Schizosaccharomyces pombe: one gene and its partners. Changing the gene in region 1 together with any one later gene gives a genetic interaction. Each region holds a gene or a part of one and is shown on either strand. Other genes may lie near its edges.

The links. A genetic interaction does not mean that the proteins touch.
Region 2: mutations in rik1 (region 1) and clr4 together harm fitness less than expected from each alone (positive genetic interaction), as found in Schizosaccharomyces pombe (4 studies listed by BioGRID, with this or other methods).
Region 3: mutations in rik1 (region 1) and chl1 together harm fitness more than expected from each alone (negative genetic interaction), as found in Schizosaccharomyces pombe (3 studies listed by BioGRID, with this or other methods).

The regions. Positions count from the first base shown.
Region 1 is NC_003421.2:1,465,064-1,473,445, forward strand, and holds rik1 (CLRC ubiquitin ligase complex WD repeat protein Rik1), read left to right. Parts: upstream 1-2,818; 5' UTR 2,819-3,110; coding exon 3,111-6,233; 3' UTR 6,234-6,717; coding exon of another isoform or gene 6,718-6,750; 3' UTR 6,751-6,793; downstream 6,794-8,382. Other genes in the region: translation initiation factor eIF2B alpha subunit Gcn3, read right to left, coding at 95-537, 593-732, 790-943; SPOM_SPCC11E10.09C (alpha-amylase-like protein), read right to left, coding at 6,718-6,750, 6,794-7,237, 7,304-8,263. UniProt on the Schizosaccharomyces pombe protein: Component of the Clr4 methyltransferase complex (ClrC) which contributes to the establishment of heterochromatin by specifically methylating histone H3 to form H3K9me.
Region 2 is NC_003423.3:453,272-460,143, reverse strand, and holds clr4 (histone lysine H3-K9 methyltransferase (Suv39) Clr4), read left to right. Parts: upstream 1-1,733; 5' UTR 1,734-2,096; coding exon 2,097-3,569; 3' UTR 3,570-3,831; coding exon of another isoform or gene 3,832-5,142; 3' UTR 5,143-5,199; coding exon of another isoform or gene 5,200-5,476; 3' UTR 5,477-5,546; coding exon of another isoform or gene 5,547-5,914; 3' UTR 5,915-6,148; downstream 6,149-6,872. Other genes in the region: pleckstrin homology domain protein Meu6, read right to left, coding at 3,832-5,142, 5,200-5,476, 5,547-5,914. UniProt on the Schizosaccharomyces pombe protein: Histone methyltransferase which contributes to the establishment of heterochromatin by specifically methylating histone H3 to form H3K9me. Part of the Clr4 methyltransferase complex (ClrC).
Region 3 is NC_003424.3:5,396,982-5,403,134, reverse strand, and holds chl1 (ATP-dependent DNA helicase Chl1), read right to left. Parts: upstream 4,391-6,153; 5' UTR 4,022-4,390; coding exon 3,383-4,021; intron 3,318-3,382; coding exon 3,125-3,317; intron 3,066-3,124; coding exon 1,363-3,065; 3' UTR 1,032-1,362; coding exon of another isoform or gene 1,025-1,031; 3' UTR 973-1,024; coding exon of another isoform or gene 902-972; 3' UTR 725-901; downstream 1-724. Other genes in the region: rpl4101 (60S ribosomal protein L41), read left to right, coding at 902-972, 1,025-1,031; GARP complex subunit Vps51, read left to right, coding at 5,056-5,535; trehalose-phosphate synthase Tps2, read left to right, coding at 5,940-6,153. UniProt on the Schizosaccharomyces pombe protein: ATP-dependent DNA helicase important for chromosome transmission and normal cell cycle progression in G(2)/M.

The DNA of each region.
Region 1 (8,382 bases):
AAAAAACGTTAGTACAAATTTTAAAATTAACAGGGAAATGGAGAGATCATAGGGAAAAATAATTGTAAGCTGAATGGATTCAACGTTTACGTACCTTTCTGCAACTGCGTAAAAGGGCTTATGTGCATGTTTGGCAAAAACGGCAAGTTGGAAAGTACCGATTTGATTAATGAGTCCTCCGTTTTCGACAACACCTTCTGCGCCAACCAAGACCAAATCTACACGGTTCATAGTAAAGCTTACAGCGGAATCCAAAACCATGCAAGTAGGAATACAAGCATTTTTTAATGTTCTCGTCATTAGACAGCCTGAGCCGCTAGGTCTTGATTCTGTGACAAAAACTTTGAAACGAACGTGACGCTTGGCAGCAGCCAAAAGAACAGCCGCAACACCGCGTGAAAACCCATGGGTAAGAATAACACTACCATCTCGAATAAGAGGGTAACCTAAATGTGCAATTCTTTGTCGACAAGCACGAGCACGCTGAATAAAGAGTTTTCCATTTTCTACCAAGTGACGTTTGCATTGCTCAAAATCCTAAAGCCGTGGAGAATTAGTAAAGAAAAGAAAACTACTTTGCATCAACACATACCCCGACATCGTGTAGTGATCGAGTGACAAACCGTTGGAAAATGTCACAACCAGCTGAAAGCGAAATGTTGTTTTGAACGCCTTCCTTCAGCGTATTTGAGCCATTTTGTAAAATGTCCATAAATTCTGAAATTGTCTTGGCTAATAGAAAAACATCAGTAAATTCATTTCTCACATGAGTACTACAAATTAACATACCTTGAGAGCGCGACAAAAGCTGGACTAAAGCCTCAATGGCGGCTACAGGCATCGTGATTTCTGGATCATCTTGCAAAAATTTTTTGTAAACCTGGACGATGTCAAATTCTCCTTGAGAATGTCGAACGATTCCCGAAGAATCCGATTCCACCATATTCGCAGATGCTAGACGCTCTTGCTTAGTAGCAACATCTTTTCCATACTTTAAGGATATCCAACAAAATCAAATAACGGGCAATGCCTTTTTGTATTAAATTGTAAGCTACGCAATTTGGTATCTGATTTAAGGATACGTAGAACTGCGGTGAGTTTTCCTTGTGATCTATTATATTACAATACACAGGTTGTATAAGTAGCAACTGAGTATAGGTATTGTATTAACTGAGTTATAATGTTACCTATCACTAATATAGCTCATAACTGAACTGAGGAACGAGGTTCAGCAGTAGCTCTATTTATATTATTCAGATAATATAGATCTTAATAGATTATCATTAAGATCAATCTCAATATCGTATCATACATGGTACGATATATAATTAGAACATGTGACATATAGTGATACGCAACGTAGATGATGCGATGTCGAGATTGATATTGATAATACTATATTAACAGATAGATTATTTGGATAGAATCGATAGAGATACAACTAAACCTCATTTCGCAGTTCAGTTATAAGTGATAGGTGACATTATAACCTAAATAGTACAATACCAGTACTTAGTCATTACTTATATAACCCGGCTATTATAATATAATGGATCATATGCAAAATTCACCAGTTTTTCGTATCGTTAAAGCAGATACCAAACTGCGTAGCTGACATTATACGGCGTTTTGGATACTGATCTACAGATATGTTCCTATAGATATTTATGTAGGTGATTTGAATGGTATTTACATATAAATTGGTTTATTAAATAGCTTATATTTAATTAAAGCTAAATATTGAGAATAATTTTAATATCATATTCTTGACTGAGTACATCTGAGGATAATCATGAAATTCTTCCTCGGTGATCAGTAAACAATGCTTGACTGTTGATTTCCAATATGTAACGTTCAACGATACTTATCATTGTATAGATAGTGAATTTGTAGTATAATTTACTATGTTCCTAATAGTTGAGCGTATCATGAACGAAATATGTCAAAACGCTTCCATTTTAAAAAAAAAGGAGTACTGATGAAAGCAGTAATTGGATTTGGTAAAAAGTAATATAGAAAGTTTTTTAAAAAACTATTTTATGTTTAAGAGACCTTTCAAAAGTTCATGACCATTTCTACGAGAAACTAATCTTTAGTCCAACCTTCGTAAATCTCGCTTATATTAAGCTTGATTTTACTTCGGTATTTATGGATGACGCGAACACTAAACTGGTATAGAAAAAACGCTATTACTTTCAGCATCTAAAGAAAATCATTTATGATAATTTCTATGCTTTCAATTATATCTAAATATTTACATGCTCAATCATTCAAAGCGATGCTACAAAAATATTATGTTTTAGTTGTCGACTCGAATTTCAGTAAAATCCTAACTTTATTGCTAGACATCCGTAGGTTTTCATTTATGCTATAAATCTGTGAATCACCTCGTGATCGGCAAGTTGTTAAAATAATCTTTTAAGTAACTCTAATACCATGCACTATAGTAAAGAAGGTATATATTTCTTTGCGTGCCTAGTTCTTGTTTTCAATAGCAATAGTCGTTATCTCCCATAGCTTTTAATTCTGCTCATCGATGAGAGTAACATATTCCAATATCTTCTCTACATTATCAAATCGTTTTGCAATTATAAAAATATCAATAGCTTTCGATTTCCCCCAATATGGCTAATGCTAAAATTTATAACATTGATGTAGAATTTGGCTTAGTTAAGATGCAAGTTGAAAATGTCTTATGTTTTATGATTATCAGAAAATGTTTTGTGTAGTATCTGATATTAAAAAATGCATATCAACTTTTACAATAAATTCGCTTGCGCAAAATGTATAGAGACTGCATATCTCGTTTCTTCTCCCTGCGGAGTGCCTGTAACTGGCGTCTTGCACTTTCATTCAAAATCGAAATTTTTTGGTAAGGATTTGATAGAGATTGTCACTTGGTAGCATATTTTTTCTATCTTGAATTCCTTTTTCTAGGCTTTTGTGGCTCTTGGCCGTCCACTCTTTATTTTTGTATTCAACTGTTTTTTAATCACATAAGTCTAGTCATAATCTTTTGAACCAACTCAAAGCTTCTTTTTTTTATTTTTTTCTTTGTTAAAAAAAGTCTTTATTCCTTTTATTATATCAGTTTATGGATTTCATCGTGTATGGCTTTATGTGTTCATTCCTTCTGGGCAACGGCGGTAGACACAGCGACTTCATGTCATTTTATATCATCTGAAAACTGCTTAGTTTTATTACAAGCCTTAAAAATTAATATTTATCTCTGTAGTGAGGTTCATGGCTTACAATTCTTTACCTCTATCCCTTTATTTTCTACGGTGAAACATATACGCCCATATCGCCCTCCAGGATTAGATAGAGACTATTTATTTGTAGTTCTCAATGATGATACTTATTTTTCGATTTATTGGGACGAGGATTATCAAAAAGTGATCGTCGACCATCCTCCAGTTCGCTATCGAGTTACATTTCCTTGGAATCGCAACGCGAAAAGCTACTGCCTTGTCGACTTAAGGATGCGTGCTATTTTTTTAAGCATTGACGAAATTTCCATGATATGTATTAGAATCCTTTCTGCCGAAGAACGGTTGAAAACTGGCCGTTCTATAGATAGCGGATTTCCTTTTTCTTTTCCAGTGCATCTCATATATGATATGTGCATTCTCAATGATTCCAGTACCCCAACTCTTGTGGTCCTTCACAGCGATGGCTTAGATTGTTATGTAACAGCTTTTCTTTTAGATTTAAGCTCAAAAAGTTTGGGAAAGGGGATTAGACTATTTGAGCGGGTTAAACCGTCAATGATCATGCCCTTTGGAAAAAGAGGTTTGCTGGTTTTTGAGAGTTTGTTTATTCATTGCATGTATCGCGGTAATTTTGTTACAATCAATGGTCCTTGTACTACTTATATGCATTGGACTCCTTTGAAAGGGCAAAAGATGCATTATATTGTTTGTGATACTAATGGATATCTTTTCGGAGTATATTCGAGTATCTTGGGAAAAAACAAATGGAGCTTGGTTATGGAAAGACTACCAATCCCACCTTTCGACTTTATTACTTCTCTAAATTCCATCCATGAGGGACTCTTGTTTATCGGAAGCAAAAATTCGGAATCTAAACTTATTAACCTGTCTACTTTGAAGGATGTTGACTCAATACCCAACTTAGGACCCATTCATGATTTACTAGTACTCAAAAACGACATTGAAAAAAGTTTCCTTGTATGCGCAGGAACACCAAGAAACGCTTCTTTAATTTATTTTCAACATGCTCTGAAATTAGATATTTTAGGGCAGACGAAAATCTCGGGCATCCTTCGAGCTATGGTCCTACCATCATATCCAGAGCATAAGCTCTTCCTCGGGTTTCCTAGTGAAACTGTTGCTTTTAATATCAAAGAAGATTTCCAGTTAGAGCTAGACCCATCTCTATCAACCAAAGAAAGGACGATTGCGCTTTCAGGGACGAATGGTGAGTTTGTACAAGTCACATCTACTTTTCTTTGTATCTACGATTCTGCAAAGCGCTCTCGTTTAGTTTATATTGAAAAAATCACGAACGCTGCTTGCTATCAAGAATACTCCGCAATCGTTATCAATGGAACAGCATTGGCAATATTTAAAAAAGATACAGAAGTTGCACGAAAAGTTTTTGAAAGTGAAATTTCTTGCCTTGATTTTTCAGCGCAATTTCAAATAGGAGTTGGATTTTGGTCTAAGCAGGTGATGATACTTACATTCTCAGATAATTCGTCAATTAGCTGCGCCTTTCAAACCAACGTTCCATCATTGCCCAGAAATATTATTTTAGAAGGAGTTGGTGTTGACAGAAATCTTCTTTTAGTTTCTAGCGGAAGTGGTGAATTTAAATCTTATGTACTTTTCAAAAATAATCTGGTATTCTCTGAAACAAAACATTTCGGTACAACCCCTGTATCGTTTAGGAGATTTACGATGAATATTGGTACCTATATCATATGCAACAATGACTGTCCACACATGGTATATGGGTTTAATGGAGCACTATGTTATATGCCGCTTAGTATGCCTCAAAGTTATGATGTGTGTCAGTTTCGTGATAACTCAGGGAAGGATTTTCTCATTTCTGTATCATTAGGGGGCTTGAAATTCCTTCAACTTAATCCATTGCCAGAATTGACCCCAAGAAAAGTACTTTTGGAGCATGTTCCGTTACAAGCCATTATTTTTCAAAATAAACTGTTGCTTAGAACACTCGAGAATAGATATGAAGATTACGAAAGTTACAAGGAAAATTATCACTTGGAGTTGGTCGATAGTTATGATGATAATTCGTTCAGGGTTTTTTCTTTTACCGAAAATGAACGTTGTGAGAAAGTTTTGAAGATTAATGAGAGTTCTTTACTTGTAGGAACAAGCATTATAGAACAAGATAAGTTGGTGCCGGTAAATGGAAGATTAATTTTGTTAGAGTTTGAAAAGGAGCTTCAGTCTTTGAAGGTAGTTTCGTCTATGGTACTATCTGCGGCCGTGATAGATCTGGGGGTATATAATGATCGATACATCGTTGCATTTGGGCAACAAGTTGCAATCGTTAAACTTACCGAGGAAAGGCTTATGATAGATTCTAGGATATCACTAGGTTCTATAGTTTTACAACTCATCGTAGAGGGTAACGAGATTGCTATAGCGGACAGTATTGGACGTTTTACGATTATGTACTTCGATGGCCAAAAGTTTATTGTCGTTGCCAGATACCTTTTTGGAGAAAACATTGTGAAAGCAGCATTATATGAAGGAACAGTTTATATAATAGCAACTAATAGTGGCTTGCTAAAACTTCTTCGTTATAACAAAGATGCAAAAAACTTTAATGACAGATTCATTTGTGAAAGTGTGTACCATCTGCATGATAAAGTTAGCAAATTTCAAAATTTCCCAATAACAAATACCAATTCGTTTTTAGAGCCAAAAATGCTTTTTGCAACGGAAATTGGTGCTATTGGGAGTATAGTATCATTAAAAGATAAGGAGCTAGAACTGGAGGAACTTACAAGAAAAATTCGAAAATTAAAATTTTCATACTTGTCATCTATGGACTACGAAAGTATAGAAGCAGACCTCATTTCTCCAGTCCCGTTTATTGATGGAGACTTGGTTATCGATGTCAAAAGATGGGCATCTTCAGAACTTTTCCGATTATGCAGAAGTGTAGAACATAGGGAATCACTCAATTCTTACCAAAAAGTTCAAGCCCTCCTTGAGGAAATACAAAGTTTATGTTAAACGTATTATTGCCTTTTTGCTCTGAGTTATTATCTTACACTTTATGGATCATTGCAAATTTGGAAGTTTGGTTCTAGGACTGTATTATGCATTTGTGAGTAATACAAAAAAAATCTTTTGATTTATAATTATAAGTCACAAGCTGTCGCAACATGGCACTGATAAATACAAGTACATAAAGCTTGGTTAAAAAGTTATCAGTCTCAATTTCTTTCGTAAAATCTTCTTCGAAATTCAAGATATTTGTCATAATTGTTGCATCGCTCATCTATCTAAGACGAGATGACATATATTCTGGATTTCAATAATTAAAATGAAACTATTAAATTTCATATGACAGAAACTGAGCACTTCAACTGGCATAAAAGCTCAAAGGAATTTTTTAAGCTAAAAAATTAAAAAAAAACTTTCTCCATTTGGCGATCACGTGTTGCCAAGTATTTTTGGAGTGTAATTAAACTGGAGAAACTCTAGTGTAATTTCTCTATAGGAAGCTAGGGTCAGAGGAAATTAGGATCTTAAAAATTGTTAGTAGAATAAAACATGAACTAAATGCTTACCTTTGGCAAGCCACTTTTTGATTTGATCTTCAGTTTATGGTCTTTACAGGGGATGGTTTTCTGAGTAAGAATATCTGTAAAACTTGAAGGCACTTCTTTCCAGTGTTCTTTCAAATCTATTTCAACTTTAAACGACGAGGTAGAGCCTTCATTGCTTATGGCTATAATGACTCCTGGACGAGTAAATACATAAACTGAATCGTCAATGTATAGTTGAAAAGATAGCACGTATGTAAACTCTGGGTAGGTCTCAACCAAATTTTGACGCGTGCGTATCATTGAAGAAAGATGTCTAAACATTGGATTGGAAGTATTGTATTTACTTTTCCAAAGACCTTCTCTGTTGTCAGGATCGCTACCACCGTCAAACATCTGTTCTTGTCCATAATAGATAATTGGAATACCGTCCATGAAAATAAGTGCAGTTAATGCGTTAAGAGCCAGCTAAATAAATGTTAAAATATATAAAAAATGCAGGTACTAAATTGAAATATTGTTCAATAGACTTACGGCGATGTCTTTGGTTTCATGAAAAAAGCGAGGAAAATCATGATTTTCCAAAAAGTTACACAAGACGGTAACATCTTTGAAGTAATGTCGAACATCAAGTACGGCCTTATCATAAAATGAAAACATAGAATGTTTGGGGTCAAGAAAGGTTTCCCGCAATTGAAAAAATAAAGGGAAATTTAAAGTCGAAGGGAGATATTTTTGATAATCCCCGACGACTTTAGGATCTCCATGAAAAACTTCTCCTGTAGTAAATACATTAGCTGCTTCAATAAATGTTGGGAAGAAGGATTTTTCGACATGTTTGGCTGTGTCCAATCTGATACCATCAAATTGATAACGTTTAATTAGATCAGAAACCCAATTTTGAAAAAATTTGCGAACTTCATTCTTTTCGGTTCGAATGTCTGGTAGGTTCACATGTGAATCTCCTAACCAACCTGTAATTGTCTCATGGGGATCATCGTAATTTTGTACAAACTGCCAGTTGTGATAATACTTCCCAGAGTTAAATGGTTGATAAAGTAAGAAGTTTACGGGTTTGCTTCCGGCATGACCCATATGGTTGACAACTATGTCAACCATGCAAAGCATATTTTTCTCATGAATTGCATTGACTAGTTCTTTCAAATCTTCTTCTGTCCCAAAATTCTCGTTTAACTGAGTCATATCTTGTGCCCAATACCCATGATATGCCTGACCACAATCCGTAGTCTCAGATATGTTTTTAACTATTGGGCTAATCCATATTGCCGTACATCCCAGACTTTTAATGTAATCAAGGTTACGAGTAATACCCTTCCATGTACCCCCAAGGTAAAGATTTCCGCTAGCTTTTGCATAAAAATTATCCTCATCCAAAGCAAATCTGTCCGTTAATACCTGGTATATAACTTGCTTTCGCCATAATTTAAGGTAGGAAGGTTCTTTTTTCGGCAGAATGGAGCAGATTAGATTCATAGTCCCTTTTCGTCAAGTAAACAACATTCACTGGTAACTGTCTCGTTTACAATGCAGCTTTAAATCAAGCCTTCAGCTACGCCTTCGTCTGGATCGCTTCTTCAGCCTTGCTTACTGAT
Region 2 (6,872 bases), on another chromosome or scaffold:
CATTTGTTTGATATCTATGGACTTTGCTCATGCACATCGTACAAAGCCGTTTATATGGTAATGCTTTAACTAAACGAAATTAATCTCTTTTTTCCAAAGATGCTAAAGAACTTTTATTTATTTTCACATTCGTTCGGCAAGTAGGTAATTTCCGTCATAATTCTATAAGAGGCGAATATGCAATTGTTAATATATTTACATCTTGTCCTTTCACACTTCAAATAATAAATAATAAAGCAAGATTAAAAGCAAGAAATACAATTGAAAAATCGTAAATATATACAGAGATTTTGTCTTCGGTATGGCCTATTCCACATTGAAAATTTCGCAACCCGGTATGGTGGCTACAATATTAGTTACATTCAAAGTGTATTTGTTGAATCTTTTGTGCACAGTATATGGATCTGAAATTTCATTCTCATTCACTAGAGGCATCATTGGTAATATTGAATCCCTGGCATGTTATATTGGGCTTTGTTTTTTTGTTTATGGTATGAAGGGATAGGATTAAAGGCTTCGTTCAAAAAATATATCTAATGTACAGTAGGTATTCTGCAATCAAATTTTGAGTTTGTAGTCTGGTGAATTTATCGCACCATCTAATTGAGATCGACAATTATCAAGGGAGCTTTCACATAGAGTATTAAGAAGCACTAGAGATATGGGTCAAAGCATGTATGGTTTTTTGTTTTCTTTATTCATTTTTTCAAAGTTTAAATTTAAATGGAACTTTTTAAGGCATGTTGGCACCACCGATTTGCAATTCAAAATTGAACCAAATTAGCAACATTTTGGATTGGCTACTGTTAATCAACCTTTAGAGCCTGCAGAAAATTTATCCAGAAATGGAGTACATGACTTCTCCATTGTCATTCAAAATTAACAAGCGAAAAAACCAAATACCAACATGTGCTTCTAGAATGGGTTATGGGTTATCGCGTTCTGAAAGTTGGCTGGAGACTCAATCTTTTTTAATTGACCTTGTTTATCTAATGAGCTCAAGTTTAACCATTATTAAAAAATGAATGCTCGAATGCAAAGGTATTTGGTTCCTTACTTTATTAATTTTGCGAGAAGCTTGTTTATAGGCATTCTTTGTACCGAAATCAAAACCCGATAGTCAAATATAATAGTTTTTAATCATTATAAAAATGGCGATGCGACTAATTGTGTAAAAAGTTTTTCTATGGACAATCTTACTGTTGTTTCATTTCTTTTATTATTATAGAGCAATTGAACATACTATTGTTTTTTAAAAACGCTCAACTTTCTTATTTAGACACAGATGGGTTAGACTCCGTGCTGCACACTGATACAAAGTCAGCTACGCAGTTTGGTATCTGCTTTAACGATAACATAGAACTGCGGTAATTTTTCCTTGTTAACGTATTACAATACACAGGTATTACAAGTAGCAATTGAGTATAGGTATTAAATTATCTAGATTGCATTGTGACCTATAACTAATATAGCTTATAACTGAAGTTCATTCCTCAGTTCAGTTGCAGCTCAATTTATAATCTTTTTAGTCTTCATTAGCCAGCGTCTATGTAAATATGAAAATGGTTTTGCGCATTTATCAATAAACTGCTCTAAAGTAATATCCTAACATATGACATATAGTGATACGTTACGTGTTCTTCATTAGAGCAGTGTGTTGTTAACACCGTATTTCCTTTACGGGGCGATTCTCCGTTTCTTTAAATTTTGACTTCTGTAAAGGAGTGCGATTCAACAACCTGGTCGAAATACAAACTGTTATAACATGAATTGGCATTGCTAGTTTGGATTGTTGTTTGAAAGTTGATTTGTATATTATAACTTTAAAATTACTTTGTACTTGATACCTTTTTCAAATTTCAGAGCTTCAATTTTGCTCTGAAATTGAACACATCGACTTTATATATTTATTGCTCATTACTAAAAAACATTCAGTTTTATATTCTGAGTTCGCGGTCGTCTATTATTTTAGTCCTTTAGCAATTGTCATATTAACATAAACCCTCTCCTTATTTTATTTTTTAAATTCGTTCAGGCATCATTTGGAGGGTTTGCTAAAAATCATCTCACCAAACAAGAGGTTATTAGTTTTGCGAATGTCGCCTAAACAAGAGGAGTATGAAGTTGAAAGGATTGTGGACGAAAAATTGGATCGTAATGGAGCTGTCAAACTATATCGCATTCGATGGTTGAACTATTCATCTAGAAGTGATACTTGGGAGCCCCCTGAGAACCTTTCTGGATGTTCTGCCGTTTTAGCAGAATGGAAAAGGCGGAAGAGGAGACTAAAGGGAAGTAACTCCGACTCGGATTCACCGCACCATGCGAGCAATCCACATCCAAACAGTAGACAAAAGCACCAACATCAAACTTCAAAGTCAGTGCCTCGTTCTCAAAGATTTTCGCGGGAATTGAATGTAAAAAAGGAAAATAAAAAGGTTTTTTCTTCTCAAACTACCAAGAGACAATCTCGAAAACAATCCACCGCTCTGACGACGAATGATACTAGTATCATTTTAGACGATAGTCTTCATACAAATTCAAAGAAGCTGGGGAAGACGAGAAATGAAGTGAAGGAGGAATCTCAAAAAAGAGAACTAGTTTCCAATTCTATTAAAGAAGCTACATCCCCCAAAACATCTTCAATTCTCACAAAACCGCGAAACCCTTCCAAACTTGACTCTTATACCCATCTAAGTTTTTACGAAAAGAGAGAGCTATTTCGTAAGAAACTGCGGGAAATTGAAGGACCCGAAGTAACGCTTGTCAATGAAGTTGACGATGAACCCTGTCCATCTTTAGATTTTCAATTCATTAGCCAGTACCGCTTAACACAAGGTGTTATCCCGCCTGATCCAAATTTTCAATCTGGATGCAATTGCTCGTCCCTTGGCGGTTGTGACCTTAACAATCCTTCTCGTTGTGAGTGTTTAGATGATTTGGATGAGCCAACTCATTTTGCCTATGATGCACAGGGGCGGGTCCGTGCAGATACGGGTGCCGTTATATATGAATGCAACTCTTTTTGTTCTTGTTCAATGGAGTGTCCTAATCGCGTTGTTCAACGTGGTAGAACTCTTCCGCTTGAAATATTTAAAACAAAAGAAAAAGGATGGGGTGTACGTTCGCTTCGATTTGCCCCTGCTGGCACGTTTATCACTTGCTATTTAGGAGAAGTCATAACTTCAGCAGAGGCCGCCAAGCGTGACAAAAATTATGACGACGACGGTATTACCTATTTATTTGATTTAGACATGTTTGATGATGCTAGCGAGTATACAGTGGATGCTCAGAACTATGGAGATGTCTCTCGTTTTTTTAACCACTCCTGTTCACCTAATATAGCTATTTATTCTGCTGTTCGGAACCATGGATTTCGAACCATTTATGATCTCGCTTTTTTTGCCATCAAAGACATTCAGCCTCTAGAGGAGCTTACATTTGATTACGCTGGTGCAAAAGATTTCTCACCTGTTCAATCTCAAAAATCTCAGCAAAATAGAATTTCAAAACTTCGCCGGCAGTGCAAATGTGGTTCCGCTAATTGTCGTGGCTGGCTTTTCGGTTAAGCTAATTTATTACTGGTTGACTCCAATAATTACAATTTGTTTTTCTCCATTACTGTTAAACTGAAAAAGGTCATTCATTTTCTAAGCAACGAGATTATGTATATTATCTGACCTGTGGGATTTGCCGAACAATTATCGGTAAAACATATCGGTGCTTATATTTTTTACACTTGTTGAAAGCATTATAGTAATTGTTGTAAAGCCTAGCGTTAATGGAAAAACTCTTTTCATCTGCTGCGCACATGTGAAGTAAAAAGGGCGTTTAAGCGTTAACGGTAATGGACCGTCCTTCAGAAGCTATAGAAGGAGCTGCTTCTGTTTCGAGCACCTGGGGCATCTGATTGTTTTCTCCTTCTGCTGAGGCGAGGGCATCAGTTGTTTCTTCAGCTGGGTCTTCTTGTGCAGCTGTTCGAGGCGTTGGAGTTGTTGTAGGAGTTAAGGGAGTTTCCGGTTTTATTGTGGTTTTTGAGAACTGGGAAATTTCTTTTAGTCTCCCGTCTTTATCAAACTTCTTATGCACTTTTTTTTGCACCAAACCTGAGAGCTTCTTTGAAAGGTTGGAAGGAAATATCTCAAATCCTGCCTTAGCAAATTCAAGGGAAGGATCTGCCTGTAAAGTTTTAACACTTTTGGTAGGTTTAGCATACTTGTGAAGCTTAAAGCCGAATACTCTCTTGTTGCCTCCTTTTTTCTTCTTATGATGCCGATGATGCTTTTTTCCGGCTTTCTTAGACGTTCTATCTTCATTGCTGACAACACTCTCTTCATTAGTAGCTGCAGTGGAAGGGTCTTGATCGTCTGCAGTAGGGGTCGCAACATCGGGAAGTGCTATATCAGGAAGTGCAATATCAGTCTCTTCTATGAAAGCTTGTTCAACTGATTGGGCTGTACCTTTAACATCTTCTTCAATGGCGTCTGCTATTTGACCGATGGGGGTTCCGTTATCATTTTGAGTAGAAGCTTGCTCAACATTTTGAGTTGATGTTGATTCTTCTGCCGGACCTGTGGCTGGTTTTTCTTCTGATGCGGGAGCCACTTCTTCCGTAGTAGCAGGAAAATGTTCTTCAGTGGTGGGAATTTGGTTAGTTTCATTCTCAGGAACTTCGACTGATTGTGCTTCAACAGTAGTATCAACCGGGTCAGCTGACGTTTCATTATCAATGGGACTAGCCGTATCGTTTTGCGGAGTTTTCCCCTTAATCATGTTTTGAAAAAAGTCAAAAAGACCGTCTTTGGCAACAGAATTGTTTTGTTTTCCGCCATGAGATTTACTAGATGACTTTTTCGCGTCCCGTCCGTTAGAAAGCATTGGAAGGAAATAACGAAATGTTTCACTTGCTGAAGGACCTGAACGAGCTGCTAACTTGCCGAGTCTTTTAAGCGTGTCATTGTAAGCACGAAGCTCTTTAATTTTATCTTTGGTTTCCTTTTTCTTAGCAATGGCATTTTTGAGATCAGTAATCCATGTATTTTTACTTTCTGGGTCTAGGGCTTCAAGTGTTTCTGATTTACCATTGTTAAAATTGATGGTGAATTTGTTTCCAGTACCGGGTTCTATGGATACTGCATCAGTCTGAAAATACAGTTAGCACGGTTAAAACTAAAAATCAGGGGAATTAGGAATTCTTACCAAATTAATGATTCCGCTTGGGACACTAGTTGATTGAGATTTGGAGTAAAAGAGTAAACCACGGCAGTCTTGAGTAGCTTTAGCGATACGGTTAAGGTGATCATTAGCAGACTGGAAGAGGGAATCAGCATCAGAGTCGTGCATTTGCTCAGAAGCTAAGGAAGGTTCCGTTGGGTTACCTTGCAAAGTACCATGGAAGTGTTTTTTATAATAATGGTCTAATAAATCCATAGACATAGGGCCTTCTAGCATATAAAAATACCTTTTCATGACATGACTACATGTGGTTAGTAAGATTACTCAATCGATTGTTTGATTTTTAATAAATGGATGCTGTTTTGACTTACGGAATAAGTCCGTTGGATCGACAGTATAAATACCCACCAGTGGTGTAGGTCAATGGTTTTTCATCCTTGGCTTTCTTCTTGGATTTTTTTTCTTCAACCTTGGGAGCTGCCACGCTGTTTGGATCATCATCTGCAGGATCGATATTGTCGACTGTTTCAGGCTCCTTGGGTTCCTCAGGTGCTTGTACTTCTGCAGGAACAGCGTTTTCAGTGGCATCATCATTGTCGGTTTCGTTGCTCAATGGCACCTCCAGTGTCTCCACCTGGGCCTCAGCAGATCCCGAATCATGTTCATTGTGTTCCGACACATTTTCGAAAGTAGGTTCAGCAATCTGCTCAGGTCGTTCTTCACGGCCCTCATAAGACATGATAAGAAGTCGAAAACAACAGTTAGGCTCTCAATTTTGGATTTTTTTTATGCTGTAAATATTTGTGGTAGAGGAAAAGTCTGCGCCAAGCTGGTTATTTGAATACCAATTGTTGGCGAGAATGTAAACAAACAAATCGACTACCTAATATACAAACAAACGATGGACATCAATAGAAAAGGGAAAATACATAGAATTTACTTTTTAAATGTTAAAAAATTTCTACTAATTCATTCTTATTAATAAAATCTTCAACGGCCATTAAATCTTGTATTCGCTCATTCGTATCAAAACATATACATTCTTCTGGAATCGAGCTGTCTGCGATTGAATGAACTATATAGTATTGAGAGATTTTACAATTAAGTGTTTGTCTTTAATTTCTAATTGCGACTACCATCCTAAAATTTTCATTTGAGTTGAAATCTGTTTAACAACAACAGATGAGCCATATTTTTCATTGACTTTATACATGATTGTCACCATTAGTTCCTTTTTTTATAAAAATTAAATGTTGTTTAACTATTCTGCTCATTTGTTTTGCTTAAAAACTAAGTAGGTTTTAATTGGTAAGAATTTTACGAGATTTTAAATTTTTATTTATTTACTTATTATTTTTGACGAACGCTAGTTTCAAAAAAGCAAATCCAAACTCGAGGTATTTTCAAATTGTTTAAAATTTTCAATAGAATGGAAGGATGTTTTTTAATGCTTTCCACATCTTTGAATTGGAAATTTCCTTTTAATATTTACACTTCTTCCAAGAAAACTATAGCAATTTGTTTCATTATAACGACATAAGTTTGTAGGAGAAAAAGTGTGAGAATATAAAAGTTCCATAATAATACATTATTCTCTATGGATTAATTATTTTTTTTAAATATTTTTTTAAGTTAAAAAGCTGGTCTTTCCATCCATGTAAAAATTGGAAAAGGAATATCGAGAAAGCAAAATAAAC
Region 3 (6,153 bases), on another chromosome or scaffold:
ATGCTTTGTGCAGTGGAGCGAGATTGCGTTAAATATTTGGGGTGGTGTTGTTTGCTTGGCAAATGCCGCAAAAGAAAAAGCCACCTCTATCTCTTACTTTAAAAAAGGTATCATTCAGTTTTTACAGATATTAAATCCATTCTGTTATACACAATTGGTATTCATATACATTGCTAGCATATCCTTTAAATTTATTGGATTATACATTTTTTACATGGTATCTTTTAGTACCAAAGGGTTAACGTTGCATTTTAAAATTTGTTTTTAATAGATGATTAAAGTAGCTCAAATTGTCAAGGAGTTTAACAGTTCGACTTAAAAACACAGTACTTGTTCCGGATGCTTTCAGTATCTTATATAGCAGTCTAATTACAATGTCTAAGAATAAATTTATACTATTCTATGGCACAAAAATGCGTTTCACCTTCCCTGTAGACTACTTACTAGACTTTAAAGAATGTTTATGATATACCTGTTCTGTATACGGTTTACAAACTAAAGTATGTAGTATGCTTGAAGTTTACACAGCGTTTGACAATAGATCGCAAGTCGTATACAACAACATCAGGTATGTTGTCATTAAAGGATAATATGAATGGATGATATAGCATTAAATGGATTATTATTAAATCTGATTTTGAAGAGCTGAACCTTTCAAAAAAGATATGCAAAAGGAAGCACTTAAAAATCACTTACTATCGTTGACGGATCATTTGAAATAAAATATGTAATTAACCACTTTTTGTATGTTTACATTTCGTTCCTTGACATACTAGAGTAATTCTGTTACTTGACTGTACTTTTGAATGTGTTACGTCCGTATTGTGTGTTCTTAAAAGAGCAGTCACAATGTGCTATACAGATGAAATATTGCCTAGTCTGCTAGTCATCCATAACCACAATGCGTGATAAGTGGAGGAAGAAACGCGTGAGACGCCTTAAACGTAAAAGAAGAAAGATGAGAGCTAGATCGTAAGTGTTGTATTATATTACTCAGACCTGCAGACTTCTAACTTTGAATTAGTAAATAAACGGATCATCTACAGCTCGATGGACTGAATTAAGCGGTCCCTAGCGTGACGCTTGGATATCATGGCAGAGGCCTCTTCCTGCTCTAAGTCGTAACTTTTCTCAAGTTGGTTTTTTTCTACCTAAACAACCTTCATTTGCGACACCATTAGTGCAGTCTTAATTGACGTTCAAAATAGATCTTGTTTTTATACCTTTGACGAGTAATGATTTGAGTAGTCGGTAAATACGAGAGAGGTGTATTTTCTAAAAATTATAGAGTAATCTATTTACAATATGCGAAGCGTAATTCTAAAATAAGCCTATGTTGACGCTGTAACGCAAACCATATGTCTAATCACACATCTTTTTAGCCCGGAAAAAAGTAGCAAGTTGCCGTATAGCAGGTCCGAAATTAGGGCTAGAATGGATGTTTTTGCTTAACCAGTTTGGTAACTTCCTTTGTATACTTGATCGATTATATCTGGAATCCAAAAGAATTATACTTGCATAATCATCTCGGTGTCGAATCGCTCGACCTATACTTTGATTTACTGCTCGCATACAGGTATTTTCATAAAATTCCTGTGAAGCTTGTTTTGCATTTATGCCTTTCTCCTTGGCCTTTTCCTCTACGTATGAGACCTTGGCTTGCCATTCCACATCTTGCGAGTTAGGGAACGGCATTCCTACCACCATTACGGCTCGGCCAAGTTTATCTGAAAAGTTGATTCCTTCTGAAAGTCTTCCTCCTATCACGCTAAACAACATTCCACTCAAGCCTGCATCTACGGACTGTTTATAGTGTTCAAAAGTATCCAAAGGATTATCGCCAAAATCTTTACTTTCAATAAATAATGGTTTTTTTGCATTTAAACGATTTGTAATTCCATTCATTTCCCATACTTTTACAGCTTGCTGCAAAAATGCAAAACTGGGAAAGAAAACCACGACGCCATCTGGGATAATGGAAATGAAGTTCTGAAAAGTCCTTCCCAAATCTTTTAATAAATTCTCATCGTCTTTTCTTTTATGTGTAAATTCAAAAGGGACGCCTGCAGGACCTTGAGAAACTAGAATGGTTGTAATATTTTCAGGAGGAACTATATGGTCACATGAAAATGGAAGTATACGAGATTGTTCATCTGAAAATAAAAGGGTTATAAAGTCATCAATCGGTGACATGGTGCCACCAGCTAAATTCACTGAACGACATTGTTCGGTCAATATCTCGACATGTTTGGATGGATCGAGTAACAAATATTTTAAATATGGATTGTCCCCCGTTTGTTTTTCGTAAAATAGTTTCCCCTCAGGAGCAGGGTTGGCGATATTCAGTAAGAAAGATTCTAATTGCATTAGGACCGGTGTGTATGGATCCTCTTCATATCCATTGCCGTTTGAAAATCTTTCACTACGAAGATCATTCAAAGACTCCAATTCTTGTGTCCCCAATGAATGCATATATTTCGTATAACCATCGACTTTTCTTGCTAGTTTTGAAACATTCAAGTATTCAGACAGATGGTGCAAGTTAATTTGATCCGCACCATTTGATACCAGTAAAGAATCGACATTGATCACTTTTGAATTCGTATTAGTTTCTAGACAATTTAAAAAAAAAGATTTTAGGTTATAGACAACTTTGATCAATTGCTTTATATGCATTCTATTATTACCATTCAGACGTTTTTCAAACCGCAGAAAATATTGTTGCAATTGAGTTTCAGCAATACAAACTTGTCTAAACGAGATGGAAGAAGAATGCATGGAACAGATTGCATCAATCAAGTTATGAGCTTCGTCAATTATACATATATTGTCTTTAAGAGTCAAATTAAGCGCATTTCGTGCTGATTCTTGTAGCAATAAAGGATAAGGTAGGGTCACAATTTGAGCTGAATCCACTGCTTCCCTCGTTCCGTAATAAGGGCAGACCTTTAAACGCTGGCCCAATTCTACGAGTTCTTCAATATCCATTATTTCAGCAAGTGCTTCATCCCGGAAGTCCCATAATTGAGTGTTGTCTTGTAAAAAGGGACACTTGTGAGCTGATCCTAAAATGTAAAAGTTAATATTAAACTGAATTTTCAATCTAGTGAAGTTGTTAAAGTACCTTGAAGCTCAATGCATTTTTCATTTAAAGCAGACGTTGGTCGAAGTTTCCGGACTTCATTATTAATACAAAGATTCTTACGAGAAGCCAAAGAAACTACTCGTATTGGCGTTGAGAAGGTTTGATTATTGAGCTTTTTAATTTCCTGAACAAGCTGTTGCAATTGAGAGTGGGTTCGAGAAGTAAAATATATCTAGCAGTAGGTTAGAAAAATATTACCACTAAATGAATATTCCTTATAAGCACCTAAATTCGTACCTTTTGAACTATAGGTGGTTTTTCATTATCGGGACTTAATTTTCGCAATAGTTCAGAGACTTTGGAACTGTAACCGTTATTAAATAAATCTTCAGATTGTTCAGAAGTCGATGGCATCGTATATTCTGCTGTAACTAGATATTCGTCCATCGGATCAACCGAAGTATTAGAATTATTACAATTGTCTGAGGTTGAGGCTTCTGCGTTTATGTTCCTCCTTTTTGTTTCCCTGTGGTATGTAGTTGAATTATTGCTCATTTGATTTTTGCGACTTTGGTTCCTCTTTCGAATTTCTTCAAGGCGCTGTTCAAGCCGTGCATGTGTTTCTTTTACTAGATCCTTTTGTATTTTCAAGTCTTGCTCTAGAACCCAATCTGGAATTTTTGAGGATGTGTTAGATTTATTGTCATTAGATTTTTCATTATCCTCAAGTAAAACACCTCCATGTTCGTCTAGCCAAGTAAGTGAAGCACAGATTAAACTCAAACTTTTTCCCGTTCCAGTTGGTGATTCAAAAATCCCAATCTTTCCATCGCTGATGGAAGAGTACAAACTGCGCATGAACTCTAGTTGGATATCGTATGGGGTATACGGGTGATGAAAATTGGTTTTAAATTTTACTTCTTTCGAATGACACATTTTAAAGGTAAAACAACCTTTTCAGAAACCTGGAAATCTTTCGTATACTATTTCGAGTTTTGATAACAGTAATTGCACATTACAGAGCCAAATGTAAGGTTCCCTTGTAAAATAGTTAATAAAGCATAAAATAACACCTTATAAACACGGGAAAGCGTATGTTTGAGCTTAGATTTTTCAGTACAACAAAAGAGAGTAGCGATGATACTAATTGAATTTACCAAATCATATGCAAGCTGGTTTCTGAAGAAGGAAGTACTGTTGCATAAACTCCATCCGTCAAACTGTCTATTTATATAACAAGAAGACTTTTCAACAAAATGTTAAAATGAACAGAAGAAACCGCTTTGCACGAGGTTAGGCAAGTTTACTGTATGTTAAAAAACTGTTTCAGTGTATACTGAAGTTAAAATATATTTGCAAATTTAAATCAAATATTCAACTACTTTTAAGGGGAGGAAACTAAATTTAAGAAAATTAAATATGCATTTCTAGTTTAACAGAAAGAATGAGATTTTGTTAAAAGTGCTAAATTCTCTTTCAACACTAAGCCTACAATTCAGTTTAGAAGAACAGCAAACGCTCAAAGGTTAAATAATATATATATGCTTGACGCTCTCTGTATTATCGAATATTATCATAACTAATGGAAATAACTATGGAAAAAGAAGCTGAAGTATGGTTATGTAATTTTCTAACGCGTGCAATCGTTAGTCTTGTTTTTGTCATCTACCAAAGAATCGCAATACCGCGAAAATGCATTTTTAAAATGCGTTGAGATTTTGCTACCAGATCAGCAATAAAAGTATCGAAACTTTTTAATCAAACTATCAATATGAAACAAAGCAATAGAATGTTTTAAAGAAATATTCGAAGCATCGATATATGATATAAAGATGTACAGGAGTACGTTATTCACTCATTTCTATCACTAGAGCATTTTCTGTCGGCAACAGTATTTTGTTCGTTGCTGGCCTTGTAGATACATTTATTTCATTATTTATTAAGCACTGTCGTTAAGTAAATTGTACAATATGTCAAGTAAACGCCGTCAAGCTTTAAGAGACTTTTATAATCTACCTGGTTCAAATAGCTCATCTTCAACTGTTTCTACAACTCGAAAACCGTCTAGCTCTAATACCGTTTCGCCAGTGGAAGAAACAGCATTAGATAAAGTTGATCCAGAGTTCTCAGATCCAAATTTCGATTCAAATGCTTACGTTTCTAAATTTATGGAGAAAGCCACACCAGCCGAATTATTGCAGCGTGATAAATCTTTGGTTGCTTCGATTCAAGGGCTTTCTGTCGACCATAGATCTTTGGTATATAATCATTATAAGCATTTGTTAGAAGCTAGTGATGCAATTAACTCTTTTTGTAAAAATTTAAATACACTTCTACCTGCATTAAACGATGCTTATCAGGCATGTCCAAAGCCTACAAGGAAAAATGGAAATAATGATACGTATTCAGCTCCCCAATCTTTTAATGGAAATGAATTTTCAGCGCCATAGTCGCAGATTTGTTCTACCATCTCAGTGTTAGCGTCTTCACATCATTTCAAAAGCTTGGGCAATGACGAACACCATCTCATTTATCAGTTATTCATAATTCATTAGTAAAAAGGTTCATTCATCATATATTCGTTATTCGCAGGGAATTTCCATTTTCATATCGGTGAATTCGGTGTCTTACTACCTCTCTCGGTCATTTGAATTTTCCGTCATTTAGGGTACACTGTCCAATGTAATATTGAGCTTATAGTACGGTCTCCTACTTTCTATACGTTTAATCATCTGCTTAAACAAGCGCAAACGACATTGATTTAAAGTTTTTTGCTAGCTTATTGTAGTGATTCATTGGTTTTATTCTCTATATTTCTCGTCACTTCTCCTCGGTGAAGTTAAGTGCTCTAGAAATGCCTTCAGGCGCGCAAGGAAATACTCAATCAGCTGCTTATAAACGTATTGTTAATGTCTCTCGAAATTTTCAATTTAAAGCAGCCTTAAATAAAGATACTCGCGAATGGACGTTTCAGCATCGTAGTAGTGGCACTGCCCTTTACTCAGCAATTGCTTCATTGGGAGATCCTAGTTCACCCTGGGACGCCGTGTACGTAGCTTCTCCTGGAC